3 linked regions of the Drosophila melanogaster genome follow. The protein of the gene in region 2 interacts with the protein of the main gene of each other region in a pairwise test. Each region holds a gene or a part of one and is shown on either strand. Other genes may lie near its edges.

The links.
Region 1: the proteins of CG5376 (region 2) and CG5111 interact in a two-hybrid assay, tested with the Drosophila melanogaster proteins (one large-scale study listed by BioGRID).
Region 3: the proteins of CG5376 (region 2) and l(2)k01209 interact in a two-hybrid assay, tested with the Drosophila melanogaster proteins (one large-scale study listed by BioGRID).

The regions. Positions count from the first base shown.
Region 1 is NT_033777.3:25,504,357-25,509,069, forward strand, and holds CG5111 (uncharacterized protein), read left to right. Parts: upstream 1-1,918; 5' UTR 1,919-2,007; coding exon 2,008-3,852; 3' UTR 3,853-3,923; downstream 3,924-4,713. Other genes in the region: CG5107 (uncharacterized protein), read left to right, coding at 861-923, 984-1,562.
Region 2 is NT_033777.3:22,487,222-22,490,797, reverse strand, and holds CG5376 (uncharacterized protein), read left to right. Parts: upstream 1-1,842; 5' UTR 1,843-1,915; coding exon 1,916-2,113; intron 2,114-2,164; coding exon 2,165-2,587; intron 2,588-2,647; coding exon 2,648-2,716; 3' UTR 2,717-2,765; downstream 2,766-3,576. Other genes in the region: CCT1 (chaperonin containing TCP1 subunit 1), read left to right, coding at 1-876, 940-1,495; Pfdn5 (prefoldin 5), read right to left, coding at 2,820-3,017, 3,079-3,288, 3,406-3,504.
Region 3 is NT_033778.4:17,418,451-17,426,469, reverse strand, and holds l(2)k01209 (lethal (2) k01209), read right to left. Parts: upstream 6,064-8,019; 5' UTR 5,962-6,063; coding exon of another isoform or gene 5,897-5,961; exon of another isoform or gene 5,023-5,896; 5' UTR 4,784-5,022; coding exon 4,524-4,783; intron 2,815-4,523; coding exon 2,507-2,814; intron 2,443-2,506; coding exon 2,336-2,442; intron 2,273-2,335; coding exon 1,965-2,272; intron 1,898-1,964; coding exon 1,711-1,897; intron 1,652-1,710; coding exon 1,058-1,651; intron 1,001-1,057; coding exon 884-1,000; 3' UTR 791-883; downstream 1-790. Other genes in the region: CG6550 (uncharacterized protein), read left to right, coding at 1-38, 99-767; cnk (connector enhancer of ksr), read left to right, coding at 7,002-7,059, 7,223-7,386, 7,446-8,019.

The DNA.
Region 1 (4,713 bases), 3.0 Mb from region 2:
CTTTATTACCCGGAGAGATATTGCCATCCCATCCCGGGAAAATTGGAAAGACCCCAGCTAACCTAATGACAGACCACCCGAACACCCTTACAAACGATATTACTACAGACTTTTACGACACTTTTCATTAGCAGCCACACTTGCTGTTGTCGCGGGTAGCCGGAAACTTTCTTTTGTATGTTGGAAATGTCTTGGACCTGGTGGCAGTGTCTTATTTTCCACACACCCCTAGTGGGAGTTATTAACCCTTAACCACACGTTACCATTTATAACCCGAACAAAGTGAACCGAGCGCGTTAAGCTGACAATGGCAACAAATTTTTTTCCTTTTGCCGTCTATTGTGCCCGGAAAATCTGGTGGCAGCCACCATTCAATTGTGGTTCTTTTCCTCTTTGTCTGCGGTTTATGGCTTTTAATTCGTTCTGAGCCTCGATTCTTAAGGGTGCCCAAGTGAATTTCGCACTGACATCAACGGATATTGTGTGATAATTGCCACAAGAAAAATATTCGACATTTTTAGAGCGTACATTTCGTTTGCATTTAAATGGGAAAATTAATTAATCATTTCAGATTTGTATTCATTTAAAACACTTCAATTGAGCAATATGAAAATTAACCGATCGAAAATGTATATTTTAAGTATCTTAAGTGGCTGATAAGTGCTGATAGATAGATACATATAAGTACTTTTGAGGTAGGTAGATTGATTACACATTTCTAGATGATAGCCGTATAAAAAAAAGGTATTAGATAGTTGGAGTGGGCAATTCGATTAATTTCTGATAAGACGTAGTTTTCAGCGGGTATATAAACTGATCTTCACTACTGGCCGAGAAAATATTATTAATTGGACAGTAAAATGAAAGCCATCACCGTTTGCCTTTTGGTTCTGGTTTCGGCCACCTGTCTGCTGACCACGCGGGTAAGATTTGCCAATTAAAAAAAAATTAACTTAAATATAATAAATATTTCTTTGTTTCAGGCCAATGCAATAGAATTGCTGGAGAACGAGAACTTCGACTATGATTTCGACTTTGAATCGGAATTGGAGCAGTTGCTGGATGAACTGGACAATGACACTGACTACATGGATGTGGAGGCACAGGGCTTTATTAGAACATGCCTTAAAATCCTTCGCAAGGCATTGAAAACGGTTCGAGGCACCAACTGTATTATCAAGGAGGTGACAAACATCCTTAGTTCATGCACCAGCTATGTGGATGCTATTGATGCCTGTGGCACTGCCATTCCCAAGGATGTGGCCAAGATTGTGGACTCCGTTAAGGAGATTATCAAAATCTGCGACGATATTTTGCATCTGCATTCGAAACTTTGTGCCACGGATAAGTCCGTGGGCTCGTCCATCAAAAACTCGGCCAAATGCTTCTGGAAATTGTTCAAGGCATCCATGAGGCTGACCCGAAAGATCAATAAAACCCTAAAACTGATTGCCAAATTGCCAGCCGATACCAGTTCCTGCTTCGTAAATGCCACCAATAAAGTTACAGCGTCCTTTAACTCTTTTCTGCCCAACATTGATGTCTGCATCGAGTCTATGTAAATATATTATTATTAAAAAATAAAAAACTCTTAAGCTTACAGCAGATTAGATTTCAATTCTCGAGCCTTTGTTCCCAACAACCTATGAACAATAATATAGTGATTTGATTGAAAATAAATTTTGTTTCATTATGATAAGATAACTTCAATTTCCAACTATGAGCCGAACTGAAGCGATTCGATTAAGATTCGTTAATAAATACAATCGGTATCTAGAGAGGGTTCTTGAACAGCTTTATACTGATATGGAAAATTAATTGTAATTAATTATAAATTGCAATTAAAGGGATTTAACTTACGTCTCTGAATTTATAATAATTTAGCATTTTTTAGCATTTAGCAAAAACAGATGTTAAGGTAACACTGAAAGAGCACTGTCAGAGTTGAAAATGTTCGTCATAAATTTAGAAATTATTTAGTTCGATTCGGGCACGACAGCACGAAACATGTCCCAGATAAACAATATATTCATTAAGCTGCGAGCTCGTCTGCGGGAGCGTGATATCAAGTTGTGGGAGGAGCCGTACTACTTCGAGGAGGTGGGCAGCATCGAGTCGGAGATGGACCGCCTGGCCAGGGACATCAGTGGCGAACTGGGCATCAGTGTGTCGGACTGCAGAATTGCCTTGGGCGAATTGCAAGATGGTGCCTTGCGGAAGCTGGCGGCTCGCCGAGAGTTCAATGACACCGGATTGGCCACGTTCAATGTGCGGTGTGTGGACAGCAAGGGTGGCACCGTGCAAATGCTGGAGATCAAGTGTTCGCTGGGTGGACTGGGCTCGGATCTGCAAGCTGAGGTGGCCAAGAAGTTGGATATCGTTGATTCCAGTCATGTGAAATGCATCTCCGGAGGACGCATCATCAATGGGCAGAAGACACTGGCCTCGCAGGGGCTCAAAACCAATCAGCACCTCATGGTGGTTGTGGGTGGAACTAATGAAGGTCAGGAGTTGCACGAACGTATCCAAAGGATTCGTGCGGACTTGGAGTTAGTTGCGGATGCAGATCGCTTTATGGAAATGGAGGATCAGGATGGACGTCCAATTTTCTTGCCACGCGAGGAAAATCGATCCCTATTGATGGCCATGAGCATGTACGAAGTGGCCAGAGTTGCCATGCATAAGGAGAACTTCGATGAGGCTCTACTCATCCTACTCGAGGCCGATGAACTCTTCTCCCAATGTGACTCAAAGCTCCTGGAAGGAGTGGATAACTATGCCTTAATCAATCTAGATATTGTTTGGTGCTATCTGCGCCTGAAGAACATCACCCAACTGCCAGATGCACAGCGACGTTTGGATATTTGCGAGAGGGGCTTTGTCAAGAGCTATGGCGAGCAGTTCATTCGATTGTTCTCGATTAAGGGTCCAAGTAGCCCGGAAAGAGCTTTGATCATGAGACTGCACCTGCTCCAAGGTGTGCTCCTCTTTCACCAAAATCGCCGGGATGAGGCCTACGAAAAACTGGAGGTGGCGACAAAGGACTTGTATGAGGTCAAGATGAATGACACTGAGCTAAGCACTCTCGTTGAAATGGGCTATGAGGAATCGGATGCCAGGTTGGCCTTGAGATCCTGTGCGGGCCAAGTGGATAGGGCCATTCAATATATCCAGGAACGCAGCGAGAGAATCAGTGAGGAGCGAAAGAACTCGGCTGCCGAGAGGCAAGTCAACCAAGAGATGATTTTCGCCGGTCAAGGAGGAGAATGGGTCAATCCACGCAGCATTATTAGGCTCATGGAAATGGGCTACGAAAGGCGTTTGGTTGTGGAGGCTCTGAAGAGGACCAAAAATAATCTCGATCGCAGTTTGGATCTACTGCAGCGTCATTCAGATGAACTTAGGGCCAATCTGCCGCCCATTCCTCCTGTCGATGAATCGTTACTTACTACTCTACAGCACCTTGGATTTTCGGAGATTTCCGCTCGAGATGCTTTGGAAACTACGGGCAACAGTTTCCATAAATCTCTGAAATTTCTATTGAAAAGTTTCCCCAACGAATCGGAATTACTTCATGTTATTGAAACCATGACAAAAGTTTTGGAGGTTCAAGAACCTACGAGCTCAACTAATGCGACTGCAAATAGCACCACCCCACTCGTAAACTTATCCAACAGCAAGGTGAACTTGCTCCAGACTGTCCTTAGCGAGGCCAAGTCGGAGATTGAGTCTTACAATGCCTTCAAGAGATTCAACGAGAACCTCGCCGAGAACAACAACCACTACTTAAACTTGCCCTTGGATCAGGAGGAGCAAATTCTGATCGAGTATAAACGTTTGCTCGAGGGCTAATAAGAAAAAAATAAGATTTTTTTTAAATATTTGTAAATCAAAAAACAGGCAATAAATAAGTACGTACAAATATTTATTGTTGCTTTGTTATATTTTTAACATCTTTTCTCACCATGTTACCATTTCATTTCACAGCCATTCCACTATAGTCTGAATGGTACCTTTTTGTGGCCAAAATTAATAACATAACAGCTAGTCAATTAAATAAAAAAAAAATAAAAAAAATCCAGCTTATAGTGCGTCCCTTCAAAAACTCAAATACTTATTGCCCAGCAAAGTATGCTATGCATTTTGGTTGCTGATGTGGCTGCTGCTATTTGCTCACTCATGTGCATAACGTCACAGTTTTTCACAATTTTGTGTATGTGTGTGTGTGCGCGTGCTCTTTGCGTGTGGCTGACTTTGTGAAAATTAATAAGTTTTCAGACCCTCTCGCCAATCTGCCAATGCCATGCGAAAGTTCTGCAGATGATGGCCAAATAATTTGTCGTCCTGTTTTGTGGCGTTATTTCCAAATCGTTAAACCTAAAATAAACTCCGCTCAGCTTATTTCACTCTTCCATTTCTTTCTTCATTTCGTGTTTTTTTTTTTTCGGTTTACGTTGATTTATTATATATGCGAAATGGCGCACACATTTTGAGTGGCTGACATTTTCACTTGACTGCGATTTCCTTCGCTTCTTCACGGCTAAATCGAGCATTTCACAAAAAATACAACCACACCGAAAAGCCATTTTGCAGATTGTTTTCTACTTTTATAGGTGAGCAGCTGTCTGGAAGGATTAATCTTTCGAACGAACTTTTTATATTATTTATTTAATTTATGTAATGAATTTTTTTAATAATACAGAATGATATTTA
Region 2 (3,576 bases):
GGCTCAGCTGCAGGACGAGGAGGTCGGCGATGGCACTACCTCGGTGGTTATCCTGGCCGCTGAGCTGCTGAAAAACGCCGACGAGCTGGTCAAGCAGAAGATTCATCCTACCTCCATAATCTCCGGCTACCGCATTGCCTGCAAGGAGGCCTGCAAGTACATCTCGGAGCATCTGACCGCTCCCGTTGATGAGCTGGGCCGCGATTCCCTGATTAACATTGCCAAGACCTCGATGAGCTCCAAGATCATTGGTGCTGACGCAGAGTTCTTCTCAGCCATGGTTGTGGACGCTGCCCAGTCGGTGAAAATCACAGATCCCCGTGGGCAGGCAGCCTATTCGATTAAAGCCATCAATGTCCTGAAGGCCCATGGCAAGTCTGCCAGGGAATCGGTGCTGATTCCCGGCTATGCCTTGAACTGCACAATTGCCTCCCAGCAGATGCCCAAGAAGATTGTGAACGCCAAGATTGCCTGCCTAGACTTCTCGCTGCAGAAGACCAAGATGAAGATGGGTGTCCAGGTCTTGATCAATGATCCCGACAAGCTGGAGGCTATTCGTGCCCGTGAGCTGGACATTACCAAGGAGCGCATCAACATGATCCTCGGAACCGGTGTCAATGTAGTACTGGTTAGCGGCGGCGTTGATGATTTGTGCATGAAGTACTTCGTTGAGGCTGGAGCCATGGCTGTGCGTCGTGTGAAGAAGAGCGATCTGAAGATCATTGCTAAGGCTACCGGCGCCGCCTTTATTACCTCGCTGACCAACATGGACGGTGAGGAGAGCTTCGATGCCTCAATGGTGGGAGAGGCCGCAGAGGTGGCCCAGGAGCGCATCTGCGATGATGAACTTATCCTCATCAAGGGCACTAAGGCACGGTAAGTGCAGATTATATCATGCAGTAACATAGTTTGCTTTATCGTATCCCTATGCCTTTTTAGTGCTGCCGCATCCATTATCTTGCGTGGTCCCAATGACTTCTACTGTGATGAGATGGAGCGCTCCGTCCACGACGCTCTGTGCGTGGTGAAGCGTGTGCTGGAGAGCAAGAAGGTTGTAGCCGGCGGCGGCTGTGTGGAGGCTGCTTTGTCGATCTACCTGGAGAACTTTGCCACCTCGCTGGCTTCCCGCGAACAGCTGGCCATTGCCGAATTCGCAAAGTCGCTGCTGGTCATTCCCAAGACTCTGTCCGTGAACGCGGCCAAGGATGCCACTGATCTAGTGGCCAAGCTCCGCTCCTACCACAACTCCAGCCAGACGAAGCCCGAGCGTTCGGATCTTAAGTGGACCGGTCTGGATCTGATCGAGGGAGTGGTAAGGGACAACAAGAAGGCTGGAGTTTTGGAGCCCGCCATGTCCAAGATCAAGTCGCTGAAGTTCGCCACGGAGGCCGCCATTACCATTTTGCGTATTGACGACATGATCAAGCTGAATCCGGAGGACAAGAGCGGCAAGAGTTACGCCGATGCATGCGCTGCCGGCGAGCTGGACGGTTAGACATTCTTCACCGCGAGCGAAGCACATTTCTTCTATCTTGTTTAGGCATTTAATTTTAATCAAATCACTCACTTTCAATTGTCGCCCCATTGATTGTAACAACAATTTAATTGTGTTGCCCTTCGCGATCTGTATTAACACCGCACATCCGCAATCCTTTCTCATCCATGCTTCAATGTATAATAAACTGATCTTCAGAATATGCTGAGGCGTAAACTAAATTGGAGGGAAACAGTTTGTTATTTCGGGAGAGCGATCTGGCCAAGAGCAGGCAGAGAGCGATCCGGAGAGTGGGATGTCCTATAAATAGAGCGTGCATCTATTTGGTCTATTAATACAAAAAGAAAACACATCCCAAAAAGCACGGAAAACGCACATTGCTCTACGAATTTTTATCATTTAAAAAGAATTCTTCATAAAATGGCCGATCATAACGAAGATGAAGCTGTTGGCGGTGACCTAAACAACAATATAACAGCAAATGGGCAGGAGGAAGTGCGTCAGCCGGAGCAGCCGCAGAACGAACTGCTGGACATGGTTTTCACGTTGGAAAGCGAAAAACAGGCACTACTAGAGGAGTCTCGCAAACGGATCGGAGCGCTCCGCAAAGACTTTGAGGTTAGTTACTCGTCTCCACGGGCTGCACCCACTTACTGACCCTGATTGCAGGAAGCCAAGGCGGAAAATGAGCGTTTAAAGCGGAGAGTGGTCCAGTTGGAGCAGTCGCTCAAGCAGTCCGTCATGCTGGGCGGCACAGATGCTCCCAAATCACGACAAGAGCAGGAGGAGCTGCTTCTAAAGGCCAAAACCCTGCTGTTCGAGAAGACCAAGGTGAACAAACAGCAGGAGCAGCAGATATCAGTGCTTAGGACACAAGTAGACTCGATTAAGGATGTGCTGCAGGTGACCAAGGACATGTTGCAGCTAAAGACCGCCGAATGTGATCACACGCAGGCTCGTCTGGAGAAGAGCCAGCAGTGGATCAAGGCGGAGCAAGACAAGTGTGTGCTCACGGAGAAGAAACTAGCCATCTCCAAAGGAGTGTATGACAAGCTGCGTTCGGAGTACGACACCCAGTCACAGATATTCAAGGTGCCTTATAACTCGAGTCCAATGATATACTTGATATACTATTACCTTCTTTCCCTACAGGATCTTAAGTCCGCGTACGAGCAGAAGGTCAAGGTTCTCACCAAGGCTTTGGCAGAAGCCAAGAAATAGCTGAACAATTTAATAAACTACGTTAATTAAATGCACACATCTCGTTAATAAGTTTAATAATTTAATGCTTTCCGTGTCTCGTGTCTCTGTCGTTCTCCGTAGTCTAGGAGCTCTGGGTAACCGCCGGCTGCGATTGCTGCTGCGACTGCAATTTCGCTGCAGCAGCCTGCTTCATCTCCAGCACACTCATCACTGAGTTATAGAAGCGCGTCTTTTGCAGGTGGATCTTTTCGATTTTCTCGATCTGCTCCTGCACGTACTCCACGCGTCGCTTGAAGTAGTCTTTGGAGCCTTCCAGATCCTGTTTGAGAAACAGATGGCAATCAATAAATATTCTAGGTTCGATTGGAAATGTAAATCACCTTTTCAATGTAGTAGCCGGTGCCGATGTCTATGACGAACCTGTTGAGATCCTTGACCCGTCCTGGCACATACATACTGCTGGTCAGGGGCACCAGGATCTGACGGTTCTCCCAATTGGGTTGAAAGGTTCCCAGCGCCTCCTTGGATCCGGCGTACTTGGCTTGACAGCCGTGAAGCGTCGACAGCGAGTCCTGTACGTTGGTAATCTCCTAAGGATCACAAAAATGTACCGATTTTAGAAGCATGTGCCAATTGGGGCGCCCCTCCTCCAGAAACCCCCTCCGCGAGCACACTTGACTCATCACACACCCACATGCGGAACGCACCTGCTCGAACTCCTGCTTGATCTGAATCAGCTGTTCCGGACTCAACTTGGTCAGGTCGATCATCTCGGACTTGGCGGGTGCGCTTGGGGTGGCAGCCATTGCTAGTGCTTACACTTATAATTTACAATTCCACTTTTATTTTATTCAGTCGCCGTATAAGGTTGCCACCTT
Region 3 (8,019 bases), on a different chromosome or scaffold from region 2:
ACCCGAGAGTCTACTCCTTTTTACATGTTCCTGTACAGGTAAGGATCGAGTGTAATATATATAAATATTTTTCGATAGTCAATTATTTCTTTTTATAGAGTGGTAGTGACTCTGTGCTGGGCGAGATGAAACGAGAGTACTGTCGGCAGGACTTTGAGCACGTTGTGGATTTCTTAAGGGAACGAGTTCCCGGTGTCACGATTGCCACGGATATAATTTGTGGTTTCCCAACAGAGACAGAAGACGATTTCGAGGAGACGATGACCCTTTGCGCCAAATATCGCTTTCCCAGTCTGTTCATCAATCAGTTCTTCCCTCGTCCGGGCACACCAGCTGCTAAGATGGATCGCATCCCCGCAAACCTGGTGAAGAAACGAACTAAACGTCTCACGGATCTCTTCTACAGCTATGAACCCTATGCGGACAGAGTGGGTGAAATATACACCGTCTTGGTCACAGAAGTTTCACACGACAAGCTCCATTACGTGGGCCACAACAAGAGCTACGAGCAAGTACTGCTGCCCATGCGGGATAACCTTCTTGGTACTCGTGTCCATGTGCGAATTACCAGTGCGAGCAAGTTTAGCATGGTGGGAGAAATTTTAGACGACGAACGCGATTGGACGAGGTGTGCAAAAAATCAGGAGTTACCAAACGTTCAAGTGCAAACCAGGAGTCGGGAAAGACTAATCCAACGCTATTTTGGCATCGCTTTGGTGTTGGGAAGTCTTGCTTTCCTCATACAGCTTGTAGTTCGACTCTTATAGCCACATCAATAAAACATCTCGTTCCAAATTCATAATTTAAGTAACGTTTTGAACTTAACCTAAGATACATTAGAAACTTGATGGTTCCATATAGGTATGGATTGGCCCAGATCTCCTTAGTACTCATCAGAGGGTTCCGTGCCAAAGTAGCGATCGCCAAAGTTACCAATGCCGGGTATAACATAAAACTTACTATTAATCTCCGGATCCAGAGCGGAAGTAACAATTTTCACCTACATAAAGAAGAACATAAATAAATGCCGGCTTTTGGAATTTAGTGTCAATCTCACCTTTGGGAAGGCATAGGCAATGGAGTGCACACCGATCTCAGCCATCAAAAGCGAGGCCAAGATAATGTTGTCCTCGGGTACATCGTGATCCAGCAGCACCCGAATGGCCATCATGGCCGCTGCTCCTGTGGCCACGGTGGCATCCATTAGTATCACCTTGTAGTCTTTTATGTCTTTAGGCAGCCTCAGGTAGTAAAGCTCCGGCTCGCCGGTCTTAAGATTGGTCTGGATGAGGATCTTTCCGATGCGAATGTCCTTGCACACATCACAAACGGCTTGTTCCATTGTTTCACCAGCTCGGAGAATTGAGACGCCGCATATTTTTCGCGATTCCATACGCTTGCCCTCGTAAAGGACACCTTGTGGAGTCTCCACTGTTGTTTTCTTAAAGGGAAATAAGCTTAGCGCATATTCAATGACTAGCCGTATCAGGCGCTTTGAGTAAAAAATAAACTCATCGCGGGACGTATTTCGGCAACGGATGAACGTGTGCAGGCCCTTTATTTGGGGCGTGGGATGCAGCAAGTGCAGAGAATGTGGCATTGGCTGGTCCTTGTAGGAGTTGGCCAGAGTTTCGCGCAGCTTAAATCCGCGCTGGAAGACAGACAGACAAATTAACAAGGTGAACAGCACCGCAAGCAGGCAATTCATACCAGTTGCAGCTGTGTGTGCACGTGCTGAACAATGAGATGGATGGCCACCTTGTTGTCGCCTCCACGAGGAACAATGATATCTGCATGGGCCATTGTTGGAGCTATGTAATTGCAATAGGAGGGCTTAACCATATTAAGGTATTGCTTCAGCACGCCCTTGAGGTCTCGTCCGCGCTGAGAGATGTCCCTAAAATTGAACAATTGATAACAAAATATGATAATCAAGGTAGGCAGAGCCGAGAACCATCACATACCTTCTTAACCGCCTGGCCAGACGAATATCGGGATCTGTGTCCACAAATATCTTCATGTCTAGCAATTTAAGTACTTCAGGACTATGAAAGGTAAGAATACCCTCGAAGATGATCACATTGGCCCCGTACATGGTTTTCGTTTGGCTCTCACGACCATGTGTCACAAAATTATAGACAGGAACTTCCACCTTTCGGCCCTCCTTCAGCTTGGTGAGCACGTCCAGCAGCAGCTCGATGTCGAAGGCATCCGGGTGATCGAAGTTATATTCGTTGATCAGGGCCTGCTCATGCTGTTTCTCATTAAGGATCTACAGGATTAACATAATGAATTCAGTCAATGTATTTCGTCAACTAAATTATAATTCTCCAACCTTGTAGAAACAGTCCATGGACAACAGTGTTACCCATGGAACGTCTAGGCTTTCGATGATTTTCTCAGCCACTGTGGTCTTGCCAGAGGCACTACCGCCGCAGATTCCTGAAGGAAATTAAGCACATTAGAGAGACTAGAAAGATTTGTTTTTTGGGAGTGATGTGTTTACCTATGACGAAGGGCTCCACCTGTTGCCCAGCACAATTGTACCACGGCGGTCGTCCGGCCGTGTAGATCGTGCGGTTATTTGCGCGTATGATGCATTCGGACGGATTCGCTGTGGTGGTCTGGTTGCCAATGGATGTGGTTCGCTGTCTCCTACCGGAACGTTTAAGAGGCGAATCCAACGATGCTTTAGCAGGCACTGTGGTGGGCGAGGCCGGACAGCAGTTGAGATCCCCGGGCAAGCCATTGCTTAGGTCGGCATACGGATCCACATAGAGTTGCTCTGTGACATCCGAGAGTGAACGGTCATCGCTGCAAATAGTACGTATATAGATTAGTTGGCGATTATCAAGTTCTACACTCCCACCATTTAACGATGACGTTAGCCACAAGTAAAATAATTGGAATTCAGTGATTAGCCATGAGATAACATTTTTATCACCTAGCACTGATTAATTTCATAATAATTTTAAATATTTTGATATGTACGAAAGAGTAGATTACAGAACGTGTTAGTGAAATTTCTACCATGCCGTACCAGCTATTGCAATGCAAGCTTAAAGCTATAAGTTCAAGGATGCAGTATACTCACTGACCTACTCTACTTTAACAGCCCCCATCTGCACACGTATTGACACCCACACAAACGCGAGAAACCAGGCATATCGTCGACGTAAAATTAATCTACTGCTCAATATGTTCTATAAATAGACAAGTTACTTGAGGCCTTAATTGAATGTGATAGAAGATAACATCGTTACGTATTATCAGGTTAATTCTTATATGGCTTTCAATGAGAACAGCTAATACGTTACATTTACAGCTCCCTTTATAAATCACGTTGGTATAGCAAAAGTATTGCAGGAATATGCAGTAATATGATATGGGAATATTTGTGATTTGGCATGAAATACGATATGATCATGATGGGTTGATATCTAATACTAGTAAGTAATATCTAGAAAGAAGTTGGCCGTTAAAACAATAATAATAGACAATAACTAGGGCCAAGTACATGCAAAAACACTCATCATACAATTCTGGGAAGATTTCAAAAATAAGAAAACAGGGGCCGGCAGACAAAGCAACGCTAGACGTATCCATTTATCGAATGCTGCGTAGGCGCGTTCGTTGCACTCATTCTTTCCGCCTTTCTCTGTATCTTCTGCTCTTCATTTGCGTACCAAAATGAAATTCACCACACGGAAAGAAAAAACTGAGGATATATTTTTTTAGAATTCTGCAGAAGGTCAAAAAATGTTGTCAAAATTTTAGAACAATATTTATCATAACATAAAAACGATAAATATTAAAATAAGTTTGGGGTACTTGTGATAAAATGTAAATTTAGAAGAATCAAAAATGTTTCATTTTTCTCTCAGTGTGGGGCCAACAATCTGGTGACGCCACAGACGAGATTCCTCCGCATATTTTTAGTTTTTGCACACCAACAAAAGAAGCGAGAGATGAGCGCTTGCCACGTGTGCCGTGCTCTTCCCAAAAAAGGAACCAACAGGTTATGGCCTTCCAGGCGGGTGGGACAAGGACGGCAAGCGGGAGTTTCCTGGCGAGGGAGATGCAGGACATTGGGAGCCAAAGGGAGGCTAAGGGAACTGGAAATGGCAAACGTGGCTCATGTGTGTTGTTGTGATCGCTGCCATGTTGAAGAATCGAGAGAGCACTTGCTGACGCTATCATCGTTTCACCATTTGTTGTTACTTGCCGCGCGGCAGACTCAATAAACAATGTTAAACACAGCAAGCGTTAATTAAACACTGAGAATAGAAAGAGACGTCGCGAAACGGGAGACTGGACAAACAAGCGCAGCACCAAAACAATTAGAATGGCGGTAAATAACACACACAACAGAAACAACAAAAAGCACTCAAATACAAACACACACACACAAATATGCCTCTCTACAAATGAATGTACAAACATACATATATGAACGTCTGGTATGTAAAATGGGACTTCGATTGGTTTTTACGTTAAGAAATGGGGAAAATGCAATGAATTACATGTGACCATTGGTTTTGGCTGCTATAGCCTTAACCTTTGACTGCTGATGATGCTGTTGTTGTTGTTGCTGCTGCTGTTGATGTGGTTGCTGAAGTAGCTGTTGCTGCTGGTGGTTTGCGATGGTTAGTAAACCGGCGGATGCGGCTGCAAATGCTGAGTTCGCTTTTGCCCCTTTTGGAACATCGTTATTGCTACTATTAATGCTGTTGTTGTTGGTGTTGTGGCCCGACTTGCTGCACAAAAACGTGATGCTGCTCATTTTTAGCCCGATCCCGATCTGCCAGCGATTTTGAATCACTCAGTCCGTCGGCGTGGGCGTGAGAACTTGGATGTGGAGGCAGCAAGAACACAGCAACCGGCGATGCCAAGCCAAAATGGGTCACTCACTCACACAACGCTCACGCGAATCGCCGCCGGCGTGGATCACATGTGATTTAGAGTTTTTATTTCGTACGCAGCGATTCACCTTTTGCGTTGCGGCCAATATTTATTCGATAACTAATGAAAACAAAAAATTAAGCCAAAGGTGTAGCGAGAAGTGCGAGGTGAGCGGCGTTTGGGGATTGAATGACAAGAAAAAGTGTTAAGGCAGCTAAGGTTAAAAAGCTGCGCTGCGCTGCGGTTTCCTCTGCCGGCGTCGTCTCTGCATTGTTGTTGTCGCAAGCCTTCATAGAGGTGGGCATGTGGTACATGAGGTTTGGCGTGACACGACTCAGTCGAAGATGTGCTCTACATTTTAGCCAAATTTGCATAACAAATGTCTCTTTTACTTTTGTTAAGTGAAGGATATTTAATTTGTTAGAGAAAAAAATATTCTAATTTTTAGGCGCATAAAATCATAAAATATTTCACGCTACATATACTTATACACAAGTAATTTTTTATAGCATTCCACGGATCGCACCAAAGTTATTTTAATAATGTTTCTGTGGTATGAATATTATTTTTTCAAACTGCAACATTACAAGTTACTCGCTGACGCGCCCATCCCTAGCTTGTAACTGTTCTCGCAGGGTGTTCGCTTTGCCTTCTCTCTCACACTCTCTTCCGATCCGATGCAACCGGCGACTATATCGAAATTGAATTTATCACATGTTATGCGTTTGCACATGTAGTGGTGTTTGCGAACGCAGGCCCTATGCCATTTTCCCAGCATTTATTTATATTGCGTGATTAGAGGCCCCACGACGCACACATGTAAGTAGGTACGTACGTACATACGATGAATGACTTGGAGCACATGCTCTTTAGATATGTTTGTGCGCGGGTGTGTGTGTGAGTGTGTATCACATTCTAATGACTTCTGTTGGATTTTCACACTTTACTTTTGGCCGTGCGTGAATTAATGCGGCATTAAAAAGTCGTTCGTTACCTGTCGGAGCTAGCGGAACTCGATGGGTTGTAGAACTTGATTTGTTTCGTCTGGGTCACAGACATTTCGACAAGAGAATAGTGATTGCAGCAGCCAGTTGCAGCGATTAGAAAAAAACACGCGGTGATTTACTTCGTCGTGCCTCTCCCTCTCCGAGCAAGTGACTGATTCGTTTCTGAAGGCATTGCGTTGGAAAAACGTGCGCCGCCTTCGTATACATACATATGTATACATCTACCCGAGCTTGAATGGTCAAGTAAAGTGCTAATTGTCAGCTGGGGAAAGGCACTGGAGCGGAGGGACGCTCATTGCCTTGTTTATCTCCATTTGATGCTGTCATTGAGGCATTTATTTATATGTTTTGGGGCAATTCAATTCCATTCGCAAGGCGCTCAGCTGTTTGATTGGGGCGGCGACAGTGTTGCGAAGCGCTGTTGGCTGTTGGGTTGCAGTAAATTCGAATGTGAATGGCTAAATCCGAAGCGGGGTTTTTAAATGTTTGATAATTATTACTTCGAGCTTGTGTCAATATAAGTGAATATTTTACATAAAACTTTGTGGTTTCTAAAAGATTAGCTTACAACATGATCTTTAGGTACTAACAAATAAAAGGTTGTAAATAGCGGTAGTGCTCGGAAAATATATCAACATGAGACAATTACCAATTCGATTATTTTTTGTTGGTCCTCTATCGATAACTGTTACTCTTACTCTCTTGCACTGCAAGCCAAATTCATATTAATTAAGACTATAAAAATAAACACATACAGAAACATGTGGCTGTTTCCTGGCTATCTTGGATGGAGAAAGTAGTATGTAGTAGTATCATAATTTATAGTTTTCTTTCCTCTTGTTCTGTCCCTTAAAGAAACTTTGAATAAATTGCATTTTGTTCAGTTTTAAAATGCATTAAATAATCGATTGCCACGCTAGTTCGATAGTATTTAACGAGCACCGAGTATTGTTCGAGCTCTAAAAGATGGTCACTCCGGACCAGAGAGACGCAACAATATAGCAATTCTGAACTTGGTTCGAGTGTTTTTGCAGCACGAATTGATAATATGCCGTAGGTGCGGCCCAGCGCGGATCATCAGCAGCAGCAGCGATGGCCTACATCAACATCGCCGAGTGGACGCCCGACCAGGTCACCGACTGGATAAAAGGTAATGCTCGAGGTCAAGGAAAGCGCAGCTGAGAAAAAAAAAACTGCATCTCGCAGCCACTGCCCCAAAAAGCAGCAGCAACAACAAGTGCAACAAGAATTTCCGCTTTGTTCAAGGTTTCAACAGGCACATCATAATAATTATGTTTTCCTGATTCTCGCAGGTCTGGATGAGTCTATGAAGGGGTATTTGTACGAGTTCTCCAAGCAGGAGATCGGCGGACGGGCGTTGCTCAACATACGGCCATACGAGCTGGAGAATCTGGGCATGCTGCGCATTGGCCATCAGGAGATCGTGCTGGAGGCGGTGGAGAACTTAAGAAACTTCGTGAGACCCCAAACAAATATTGTGACATACAAACCCGTTAATTGAGCTTGATATTCCAGCATTATCACCTGAAAAACGACAATCTGCAGTTCATGGCCTTGCATGTGGCCACGGCAGCTAAGAATCTGCATCGCGAACTGGCCAGGAATCATGCGGAGAGCACTAAGATCGATACCCGGATACTGCACGATATTACCAGGACGATAGCTACTCTAAAGCCATTGGTGGGCAGCCTGGAGCGAACACCGTTCCGTAAGCAGGAGATGTACCGCGAGTATTGTGGCAATGTGCTCAAATGCGGCCTGGAGCTGGCCACAATTGCCCACCGTGATCGTTTTGCCCTGCAGCCGGTGCCAGCGATTCGACAGTCAGCGGAACGGCTCGAGAATCTTGCCAACTTTGTAATCCAGGACATATCTGATCCCATGGTACTGCAGCCAGCCTCTCTGAACCTTGTCACCCTTAAAAAACGCGAATCCGAGTTGGGTTTCAACATAGAGTCCAGTTATAATGGCATTCACCGTGTCACGGATATCAAGTACAACTCGCCAGCTCACAATTCCGGAAAAATCGAAGATGGCGACGAGATTGTGCAGATCAACTACCAGACCGTTGTGGGCTGGCAGCATCGCA